Saccharomyces cerevisiae S288C: one gene and its partners. Changing the gene in region 2 together with the main gene of any one other region gives a genetic interaction. Each region holds a gene or a part of one and is shown on either strand. Other genes may lie near its edges.

Region 1 (3,938 bases), on a different chromosome or scaffold from region 2:
TGCAGCATTGAAGGATTTCCACCGTGCATTAGAGCACATCACTGTAACCCAAGGGATTTTCACCAAGCAATTGGGTATGAATCACACGCACTCAGCCCAATCAAGACAGTGGGTTAATGGTTTAAGCTCATTAATAATGGATTTAAAACAAAAGAAGCAACTTGCACAAGATCAAATGTCGACAACGGGATCAAATTCAGCTGGCCATAAAAAAACCAATCACCGTCAAAAGAAGGATGACGTTAAACCTGAATTGGCTAACAAAAGTGTGGATGAGTTGTTAACATTTATAGAAGGCGATTCTTCCAACTCTAAGAGCAAAAACAAAACCAACAATAAAAAGAAGCATGGTAAGAAATAGAGAGCTAACTTAACAATCTCGTTTATTTATTATTTTTCTTTATATCTATAGCCCATACTTGTATATACTACGTGTAAGTACTAGATATAAAACGAAAAAAAAATACTTACAATTATTTTTTTTTCTTTACTGCTCTATTCTTTTCTTTATTCTATTCATAAATGCAAACAATTAGTTATGTAATTTTAAAAGTTGAAAATAATTGACTTTGTCAAAGAGTAATTAATTTTTCACAAATCATCATAAATGCAGGTATCAAAATATTGTCATTAAGCACACTATTACCTTCTAGCACTCCACTCAGTGTACAAAGGGTAAGCAATTGTAAAGTAGTTAGGTGGTTAAAAATTGCAGCTTTATCAAAACGTAACAATACCAAACAAACGATAAAACTCGTTACTATAAACGCAAGAGTTCCCTCTAAAGTTTTTTGTGTACCTTTCCAACGAATGCGGCCATACCTTTTACCAATAATAGATGCTAAGGAATCACCAATTCCCAATCCTATTAGACCCATTGGAGAGTTATTCATTAATAAAGGTGTTGATATTCCGAAGAGTAAATAAAGGTATGATATGATCAATGGCCCGCTGTGGTCCCTATCATCAGCAAACCTTCTTAGTTGTAATTCAATAGCAGATCCTAACGGCGGTAGGTTTTGAAATCTTATGTACTCAATTGATAAGAAGACTGGTATTGTTCCGGACAATGCAATTTTCACAAAGTTTGAATCCATTTGGAATGACGGTATTATGAGTAAGAAAATGATGAAATGCCACAATTTTCGGGAGGTGTTCAACGATAGACTGTCCTTCTCGATCAATATACTTGGTATGGACAGTATAAGAATTGAAGACCAAGCAAACAAAATCTTTTGACGAATAGTAGACTCTAAGATATATTTTACCAGCCAAAGTAGCGGATTTTCACCGTCTTCTAAATGAATGAAGGTATTGGCAAAAAGTGGAAGCCCGATGGCAAAGGATATTGACAGCATAAACGGTTTAAAGTGCATTACCTTTTTGAGCACATAGTTAATTGAAATTATTGTTGTGAGAGCAAGGATAATGCCCTTCAAAATTCTAAAATGTACTGTGCCAGCCTCTGAAACGTACAGAATATTGGTTAATAGGATACTAAAAAGATTAGAGTCGATATTATCTAAACTTTTCAATTGCCCAATATACTTCAAAATTAACGACAGTAAAGAATTTATTACTATGCTAATAATATTCTTTAACCTGTCACCAGCCTCAAAATTAAAAAATATGAGGCAGAGCTGTAAAATGATCACTACCAACTGAGTTCGCCATCTATATGAATTTAATACCGAAAGGATCAAAATAGTATTTATCACCGTAGATGATGTATCGAACAACAACGAAACCATAAACGGTAAATATAAACTGTAAATGGTATCGAACTTGGGTAGGCTTTTGTAACCATGTTGCCAATATTTTGTGAATATCAGACCAACCATTATCAAACACACCACAAAGACATTTACAAAGATTTGTTTATAAGATATATCAGCGGTAACAATGGACCACGGCTGAAGCCTTTCAACACAGTAAAAAAAAGTGCCCAACAATATAACAGTTTGAACAAAATTCGAATAAAAGCACTCAAAATCTCGAGAATTCCCGCCCACATCAAATTTACGAGTCCTCATATTGATTTTGCAGATCTCCTCAGTTGGCATTTGGCTTCCCTCAGTTTTCTGGGTTAGTTTAATTGTGGTAAAGGAAGCATGAGGTATTATAGCGACCATATAGGCAATGAACAGAATAACGACAGTTTATTGCCTCGAAAGGAGTCTGATTTACTAGCTAAATTCTAATATTTGGCTTACTACAAACTCTATCTTTCATAGAATACGTCCTTCGATACCATTTTCACCATCTTGACTAACAACGTGTACAACTCTTTTGAAAATTACGTGCCTGAAAACCCAACCATTGCGGACAGCCCTCAATAACGTATCTTAGCATTACCCGCACACCCATACATCTAGAACTTTTTTCATTTCTGAAAATTTTTTTTTCTTCTAGGATTACTTCGGGTATAAATAAGAGACGCAGAAATGGTTATTGGCAATTAATGCTTCCTCTCTTTAATAAGTTACAATATTAGAATCCTATGATTTCCATCACAAAGATCAATACAAAAGAAATATTCAGATGAGTGGGAGCTATGAAAGGCTGAGAGAGAAATTGAATCCATAAAACGTTTTTTTCCGTGTTCTTTTTTTCTTCTTTATCAAAGTTAGTTTTTCAGATATGTCTTTTGTCATTATCACAGGCTAATTATTCCCTTGATGACCAAAATAAATTTTTACAAACTAGAGTTTCTGAATCTTTTGTGATTAGAACGTTTATTCTTATTTCTGAGGTTTTTAATTAGCAATAAAGAAGAAAAAACTGAAAGGAAAAGTCTAAATAGAAATACAGTAGTATTTCTTCAATTTCTCTGCTCTCCTTTCATTTACCACACCCATTTCAATTTTCTTTTTATTCCATATTTATTCAAAGGTGTTTGTTCATATGATGATTATAACAAAAACAAAAGCTGGAATTACTGGCTGAACGAGTATATGTTGATACGTTTTTGCACTATCCTGACCTAGCAAACACCTTTAAAATAAATACTAGAAAGTTGACACATTTCCATAAATTGGAAGAATACATTTAAGCTTAGAAAACAGTAGTTTTTTAGTGCTATTCTTCCGTAGATTGATGTTTTCGATCTATTTGATACAATGGAAATGAGGATCCACAGCACTGGGCACTGAGGGGGAAACAAATATCCTTTCAAATGAGTGACAATGCTTTAGCGGGCCTAGAAAACCCGCGCAACTGATCCATTGTAAGTTTTTCTGAGGGCTAACAGAATTTTCTATAGGGAAGAATGGATTTTTTTCTCATTTTCGTATAATTATGTGAATTGGTTTTTATGATGAGATATTTATAGATGACGAGTCTGATCATTCGTGAAGACACAACTATTAAAATTACCATTCATGCCTTTCTGAAGCTGTTTACATTATTCTTTTCGATTAGCAAAGAATTTGGAAATAGAAAAAAATCGACAGATAACTAGTTCATCAGTTGATGTGTCTGTATTGCTTCCATGTTTTTTAAAGAAAATTTCTACCTTAGAGACGTCAATGCTGCAGAAGATGAAACAAATTACTCAAATAGACAAGCATATGTCTGATCTTCATGATTGAAAAGAGCAATTAGTGTCTGATGCAATTTAAACTAGAAAATTTATCTGAGAGAGATGAGAGATCGTACAAACTGTTTCAAGGTTTTTAACTTTTCTCCAATTTCAAAAATTGTTTATGATGATTTCCACATTTCACGACGGTCAACTGCGTTTTTCGAATGTTTATCGATTAACTTTGATGATATTTCGCCTGTGACAGGGCGTGGTACTGAGCTTTAATATTTTTAGCAAATTTAGAAATTGGGTCAAGCGAACCATTGTAATGCTGACTATTTGGACGACTCTAATCTCTTCAATATATTTGAGTTCAAATATATTAACTTGAGTAAATTTTCTCTTGCGTTAATTA
Region 2 (2,927 bases):
TGTGTATGCAGCCTTTTATGCCCTCGGTATCGGCACTGTTCCATGGCAACAATCGGAATTATTTCCACAAAACGTCAGAGGTGTAGGGACATCCTACGCTACTGCCACCAATTGGGCAGGTTCTTTAGTCATTGCGTCTACGTTCTTGACTATGTTACAAAATATTACACCAACGGGTACATTTTCATTCTTTGCCGGTGTAGCATGTTTATCAACCATTTTTTGTTACTTTTGTTATCCAGAACTATCAGGATTGGAGTTAGAGGAAGTTCAAACAATTTTAAAGGACGGATTCAATATCAAAGCCTCTAAAGCTCTAGCTAAAAAGAGGAAACAACAGGTGGCCGAAGGTGCTGCCCATCATAAACTCAAATTCGAACCTACACAGGAAATTGTAGAAAGTTAGACTGCTACACCAACAAAAAATAAAAGATAAAGAACAAAAAAGAAGGAAGAAAGCTATAAAAGGGAGACAATTCATTTCATCTAATCTTAAAAGTTTTTATTTAAATATATAAGTAAGAGCGAAGTATTTAAAAATAAAAATTCATAAAAGTTGAGCTTGATGAAAGTTATATCTTTTCGAGCGGTATGTTTCTTTCGTGTAAAATTCTTCTTAAAGTATCTAACTTCTCCTCATCTTTCAAGTTTCCTTTAACTACAACTTTTTGGATCAATTCAACGGGAATACTGCTGCTTAAGTAAACATTATTGAGCGACCTGAACATTTTCAAAGTTTGAAAGAATAATGGAGAATGGCAGTCGATGAAAATATAGACGTTACTTGAAGAACGCATTCCACTAATAACTCCCTTCGCGTGCAACATCCCCGGCGATAAATGGACATGATTTCTACTCATTGGTGATATTGCTCCGGATTCAATAATCTTTATGACAGATTGAAGATTTGTTCCATGAATTAGTTCCTGTGGTAACTGCGACGCTTCAGTAATTGGTACGAGAACCTCATCTGATGGCTGAATCGATTTGATTGAATGTCCCTGAGTAGCACAGATCCATTCTTCGTCCGCTCCTAACGTTTTTATATGAAAGCGTTGTTTGTCATTTTCCTTAACAATGCGATGGATATCATCCACCGTACATTTATGAGTTTTCAATCTATTATGAGACAATAGTTCTTTCAGCGGTGTATAACCGTTTGAGTCAATAGTCAACTTTTCTTTCACCGCTGTATGTCGAAGCAGATATGATAAAGCTTTGGAAAGCTGTACATCCCTTTTATCTTTTTGTAGTACCTGGCGCATTGTCAAGTCCACCTTTCCCAGTCATTCTGCTCAATTCTGTAATAATGTATTATGCATTTTGCCATTATTTTGATGAGCTTTCCTCGCGTCACGGTGTCAGTAAAAAAGAACAAATACATCACGAAGACAGAAATACGGACAAGAACCGCAGAAGACATTAAAGTCAAAACATGAAGCTTAATTCAACTCGTGTAAGTATCTTTAAAGGAGATACACTTCCCATTCTTGAATTATTTTTTTATTTAATTTGCCTTATTTATTCAATTATTTATTATGTGAGCACCAGCTGAGTCTAAGACTTGAAATTAATTAATTCGGGCTGATTCAAACTTGAATGCATCAAAATATAAGATTGAATCAAAATGAAAAAATGGTAAAAAGCCGTACCAGAAATCAAGAGATGGAAAAGGTACTCGGAATGATTCCAACCTTCTTCCTTTTTATTTCGTCTGAACAATGATTCAGGGAACCTGGTAACGTAAATTATAGATGCCGCTACCAAAGCCACAAGTTCCCACGTAATTGCGTTCACTTTTATCCTCTCTTTCAGGTTTTCTAAACCATCAAAGGTGATTATTGCGGTTAATAGTGGCAAGGAACAACACACTACTGATACCGAAATGAAGAAAACTGTTTTATTGAATCTTTTCGAGGAAATGAGTTTGTCCGTCAATATAAAAAAGTATGCCACTAATCCTATGAAGTTCATTAAAAGGGTAAAAATTTTGAAGAAAAACACGTAATCATAGAATAGATAATAAAGAATTGTGATTTGTGATGATATCAATAAGTTGATATTCGATAAATACGAAAACTTCTGCCAATGTTCGAGATGTTGTTGTAGAGAAATATTTTTGACGAAGTGATAAATGAAATGCACCATACAAAATACAAAAACGTTCAATAAATAAAAATTGAATACAATGTAGTCTGTCATTGTAGTGGTGGTGGGGAACAAAGGTATCAAATAAAAGTCCGTGAAAAATATTAGGAGACAAAATGACAGCATCGAACCCAAGAGATATATTAGTGCTACTAGTGACTCGTTCCTACTGGATTTATTTTTGTACTGTTTCTGCAATTTTGCCAAGTCATGGAATGGAAAACCCTTCTTTGTTTCTTTTGTCTCTGCATTCTCGTTCGAATCTGTCCCCCTAGTATCATTGCTCTCTTTCTCAGTGGTTGTCTCGCATTTGACTGGGCTTTGCTCTATTGTAGTCAATGAAACCATACTGTCAATATATATGTACCTTTATACCAATATTATATGCGCTGACAAGAACTTTAAGAAATTAATTTCCTTTTCTACTTTTTTTCATTTTTATTTTACTTCTGCGTCCATATATCCGGACCATATATATGAGTGTAAATCATTTAGCTGTTGACACCATTGAGTATTTACAATTAAAACCAATTGAGCTCAACAGGCTTGCGTTGAATAATGTTGAGCTGCCCAACGAGCCCTTTTCTCGCGGAGTGCTGTCCGAATTGTCCGAGTTTTTATACGGACAGAACTATCGCTTCTTTGAAGTATATATAAGAATAGACCGGCTGTTCACCCCGTATCCTCCTTTTCTATCTCTTGGCTTGCTATGTTTCAATGTCAGCCTTTGCTTTTATGTGCCCTTGCATACACGTGAATATGTCTATTTTATGTAAACT
Region 3 (3,452 bases), on a different chromosome or scaffold from region 2:
GGAAAATAATACTTCTACATACGGCCAAACAGTACAACCAGTTTAACGGAAATATGATGAAAACTATGTGTACTCTAATTATTATATAAAGCATCTATAAAATGAATCATGAGGATTAGGCCGTGATCTTCGCGCTCCATATATGGAGAATACTTTTAATTTCACAGGAGAAATTAAGATAAATAACTTGAAAAGTCCACTGAGATTGGTGAAAGTGTTTCATCCTCTTTTTCAGTTTCCCTTGAACGATAGGGTGGAGTGGGACAGGCGGGAGATATGTTTTCCTGTAACGGCTGCATCTCTGGTATATTTCCATCCCGATTATATGTTTTCATGGGGCTGGAAGTGAATAATGAATTCGTTCTTCTTATTGGAGACGGGGAAAGATCAATTTTCAAGGGCTTAATCTCATCGTTTTCTCTAGCTAGATTAGACATGGTTCTCCTAGATTTGGTGTATGATGGATGAATGTTTGAAGAATCTAGTAAATCCTCCAAAATCCTGTACTTCTCATTTGAGTAATTCAATGCTTCTTGTAATGATTGTAGCTTGCTTTCCAAGGCTTTTATTTTCTCATCTCTTTTCTTAATTTGCCGCTGTAGAAGAATTTCTCTATCTAAGTATAATGATTGATTTCTATCTTTTCCACTCGACCCGTCAGAACTACCACTTCTTAGTTCACTGATCCGTTGCTTATTGTATTTCAACTCCGATATCTTTCTCTTAAAGGCATCACTCCTTAGGATCCTAGATTTGGCTGTATCTGTGTCCATATAAGAAGGTCTTCCCTGGGATCTCTTCTTCAAAATTCTAGTCATGTCGCCACAAACATTTTGCATCTTGCTCATATTTTCATTATCATTGGAAAAAACATCTCTGATTGTCTGGAATATCTTTGTTAACCTTCGTTTGGGTGTTTTCCTCCTGTTAGTACGAATTTTTTCTTCAGTTTTCCTATCTGTCACCTTTCTAGGTCTTTTTAGAACGCTTTTACCCGTAGGACGCATCTGCTTTCTTCTGCTCCTTAAGGCAGATCGTTTTCTCACTTCATCAAGGGACCCGTATTCTCGTTTCCTGCCATCATCTCGTATTCCAAAAAAATCTTTCCACAGTCCCTGTACGGATTTTAGCATATTACCAATGTCTATTATTGTACCTTTCTCTTCAGAGTATCTACTTGTTCATGTTCAGCAATAATTTCATAATTGTTGATGCGCGCATCGTTTCTATACTATGACGCGTCACGAATTGTGCTAGAGTGGCCTCTAATGAAAGTATAAGAGGCGTTGGCGAAGGTCAAGGATAGACCATTGGCTGTTTCGGATGAGTTATTTTTAAAGTGTAAAGGTATAACATCAAATGAATGAAAATTAACATTGATCTCAGCTCTCAATTTCTTTCCTCATTTGTTTTCGATGTTTCTATATGAGTATACATTAAACAAGTAAATCTCAAGCTCTTGTCAAAACAGTTATTTCCAACATATCTATCTGCATTATTGGTAGCATAATTCTCAAAGGAAGCTAAAACATCCTTCTTAAAGACGTCTATTGGCAAACGATATGTTACGTATTCCGGGTAAAACAAATATTCCATTAAGTGAAATGACCTTTGTTTTCAAAACTAACCAGTTTTAGAACAGTAATTCATATAAACAACGTGATCTTATATGAAAAACTCACCAAAAGGAGACCAATGGATTCCACAGCACTTAAGGTAGCTCTAGGCTGTATTGCAATTCGTTTGGCTGTGAACAGCCTTTTTCCCTCTCTACAACAACAACTGGACCAGTCTGTAGAATTCTCAACTCCCGTAACTTCATTTAGGTCACTACAGGAAGGTATATACCTACTGCGGAACAACATCCAAGTATATAATCATGGGGTTGTTCACCATCCTCCAATTTTGATTTTTTTTCTTTCCCTCTTTAATTCCGACAGGTTAATTTCCCTCATATACGCTTTAATTGATGGATTAATTGCGTATCAGCTGACAGAGGTAACAAAGGCTTTCAAAAACTTGAAACTGAAAGTTTGGCTACCTGGACTTCTTTATGCCGTGAATCCTTTGACCCTTTTATCGTGCATTAGTCGGTCATCAATCATATTCACAAATTTTGCTATTTCATCGTCATTGTATTGCATATTAGCTGAAGGAAACGTTCTTTTGTCCTCTGTTATGATTTCTATATCTGGATATTTGTCAGTATACCCTATTCTCCTCTTAATTCCGCTATTAGGTATGCTGAAAAGTTGGAGGCAAAGAATATTATCTGCCATTGTTTCCATACTATCTTTATTAATTCTGCTATTATTCAGCTACAGTATATTAGGCAGCCAAAGTTGGTCATTTTTGACACAGGTTTATGGATCTATTATAACCTTTGAGAAGGTTTTTCCAAATCTGGGTTTGTGGTGGTACTTCTTCATTGAAATGTTTGACACCTTCATACCGTTCTTCAAGGCTGTATTCAACATTTTTATTGCAGTATTCATTACACCATTTACTTTGCGCTATCATAAGCAGCCATTCTACGCATTCATTTTATGCATTGGGTGGATTGTCCTTACAAAGCCATATCCCTCACTAGGTGACGCTGGTTTTTTCTTCAGCTTCCTACCTTTCTTCACGCCACTATTTGGATATTTAAGATACCCCATCATATCAGCATTACTGTTTTTACACGCAATTGTTTTGGCGCCAATTTTCTATCATCTTTGGGTTGTTTTAGGTTCAGGGAATAGTAATTTTTTCTATGCTATTTCCCTAGTTTATGCTCTGGCTATAGCATCTATATTAGTTGACTTGAACTGGGCGATGCTGAGAATTGAATACGATAACGGTATCCCAAATTTCAAATTGAAGGTAACACAAATTTAACTACTTCCCGTCTATAAACGTACATAAACTAGAATAAAAAGAACCATACAGATGTTCATCGTAAGAGTGGATAAAGCGAATATGAGAGCCATATTGGTTATTCCAGAGGCTATCTATTTTTTAAGAGAAACTGCTTGGTTAAAATTTGCATAATATTGTCTCGGAGAGAAAAGATAGAACTCAGAAGGACCTAATTAATCATGAGCGTTATAATACGAAGAATTGAGATAGAGTGTATGATCTGCGGATTAAGCTCCTACATAATAACAACATTGTACTTGGGACTATGCCAATTTCTTTCCCACCAAAAGTCGTATGAAAAAGGTTATCTTCGCTAGGGCTTCCATTAGGTGAAAGCCAATATATTATCATAGAATAGCACGGCATAAATATATATTTTGTGCTGTCTTTTTGGGAAGGGTAGTTTGACAACCCATGTACATTAACATAAAAAGAGCTTTATCATTAACGGACGAAGAAAGAATGTGTATCGCGTATTTTTAGACTATCGATAATCTTTTTTAAAGTTATGGTAGATAGAAGATGGAATCAGTTACGAAGTGATGAGTTCC

The links. A genetic interaction does not mean that the proteins touch.
Region 1: mutations in TPT1 (region 2) and SEC59 together harm fitness more than expected from each alone (negative genetic interaction), as found in Saccharomyces cerevisiae (2 studies listed by BioGRID).
Region 3: mutations in TPT1 (region 2) and GAB1 together harm fitness more than expected from each alone (negative genetic interaction), as found in Saccharomyces cerevisiae (2 studies listed by BioGRID).

The regions. Positions count from the first base shown.
Region 1 is NC_001145.3:294,607-298,544, forward strand, and holds SEC59 (dolichol kinase), read right to left. Parts: upstream 2,133-3,938; coding exon 573-2,132; downstream 1-572. Other genes in the region: translation initiation factor 3 subunit CLU1, read left to right, coding at 1-361. UniProt on the Saccharomyces cerevisiae protein: Catalyzes CTP-mediated phosphorylation of dolichol, the terminal step in de novo dolichyl monophosphate (Dol-P) biosynthesis. Dol-P is a lipid carrier essential for the synthesis of N-linked and O-linked oligosaccharides and for GPI anchors.
Region 2 is NC_001147.6:125,425-128,351, forward strand, and holds TPT1 (tRNA 2'-phosphotransferase), read right to left. Parts: upstream 1,266-2,927; coding exon 573-1,265; downstream 1-572. Other genes in the region: myo-inositol transporter ITR2, read left to right, coding at 1-406; IZH4 (Izh4p), read right to left, coding at 1,558-2,496. UniProt on the Saccharomyces cerevisiae protein: Catalyzes the last step of tRNA splicing, the transfer of the splice junction 2'-phosphate from ligated tRNA to NAD to produce ADP-ribose 1''-2'' cyclic phosphate.
Region 3 is NC_001144.5:1,055,639-1,059,090, forward strand, and holds GAB1 (GPI-anchor transamidase subunit GAB1), read left to right. Parts: upstream 1-1,695; coding exon 1,696-2,880; downstream 2,881-3,452. Other genes in the region: YLR456W (pyridoxal 5'-phosphate synthase), read left to right, coding at 1-46; NBP1 (Nbp1p), read right to left, coding at 174-1,133. UniProt on the Saccharomyces cerevisiae protein: Component of the GPI transamidase complex. May be involved in the recognition of either the GPI attachment signal or the lipid portion of GPI.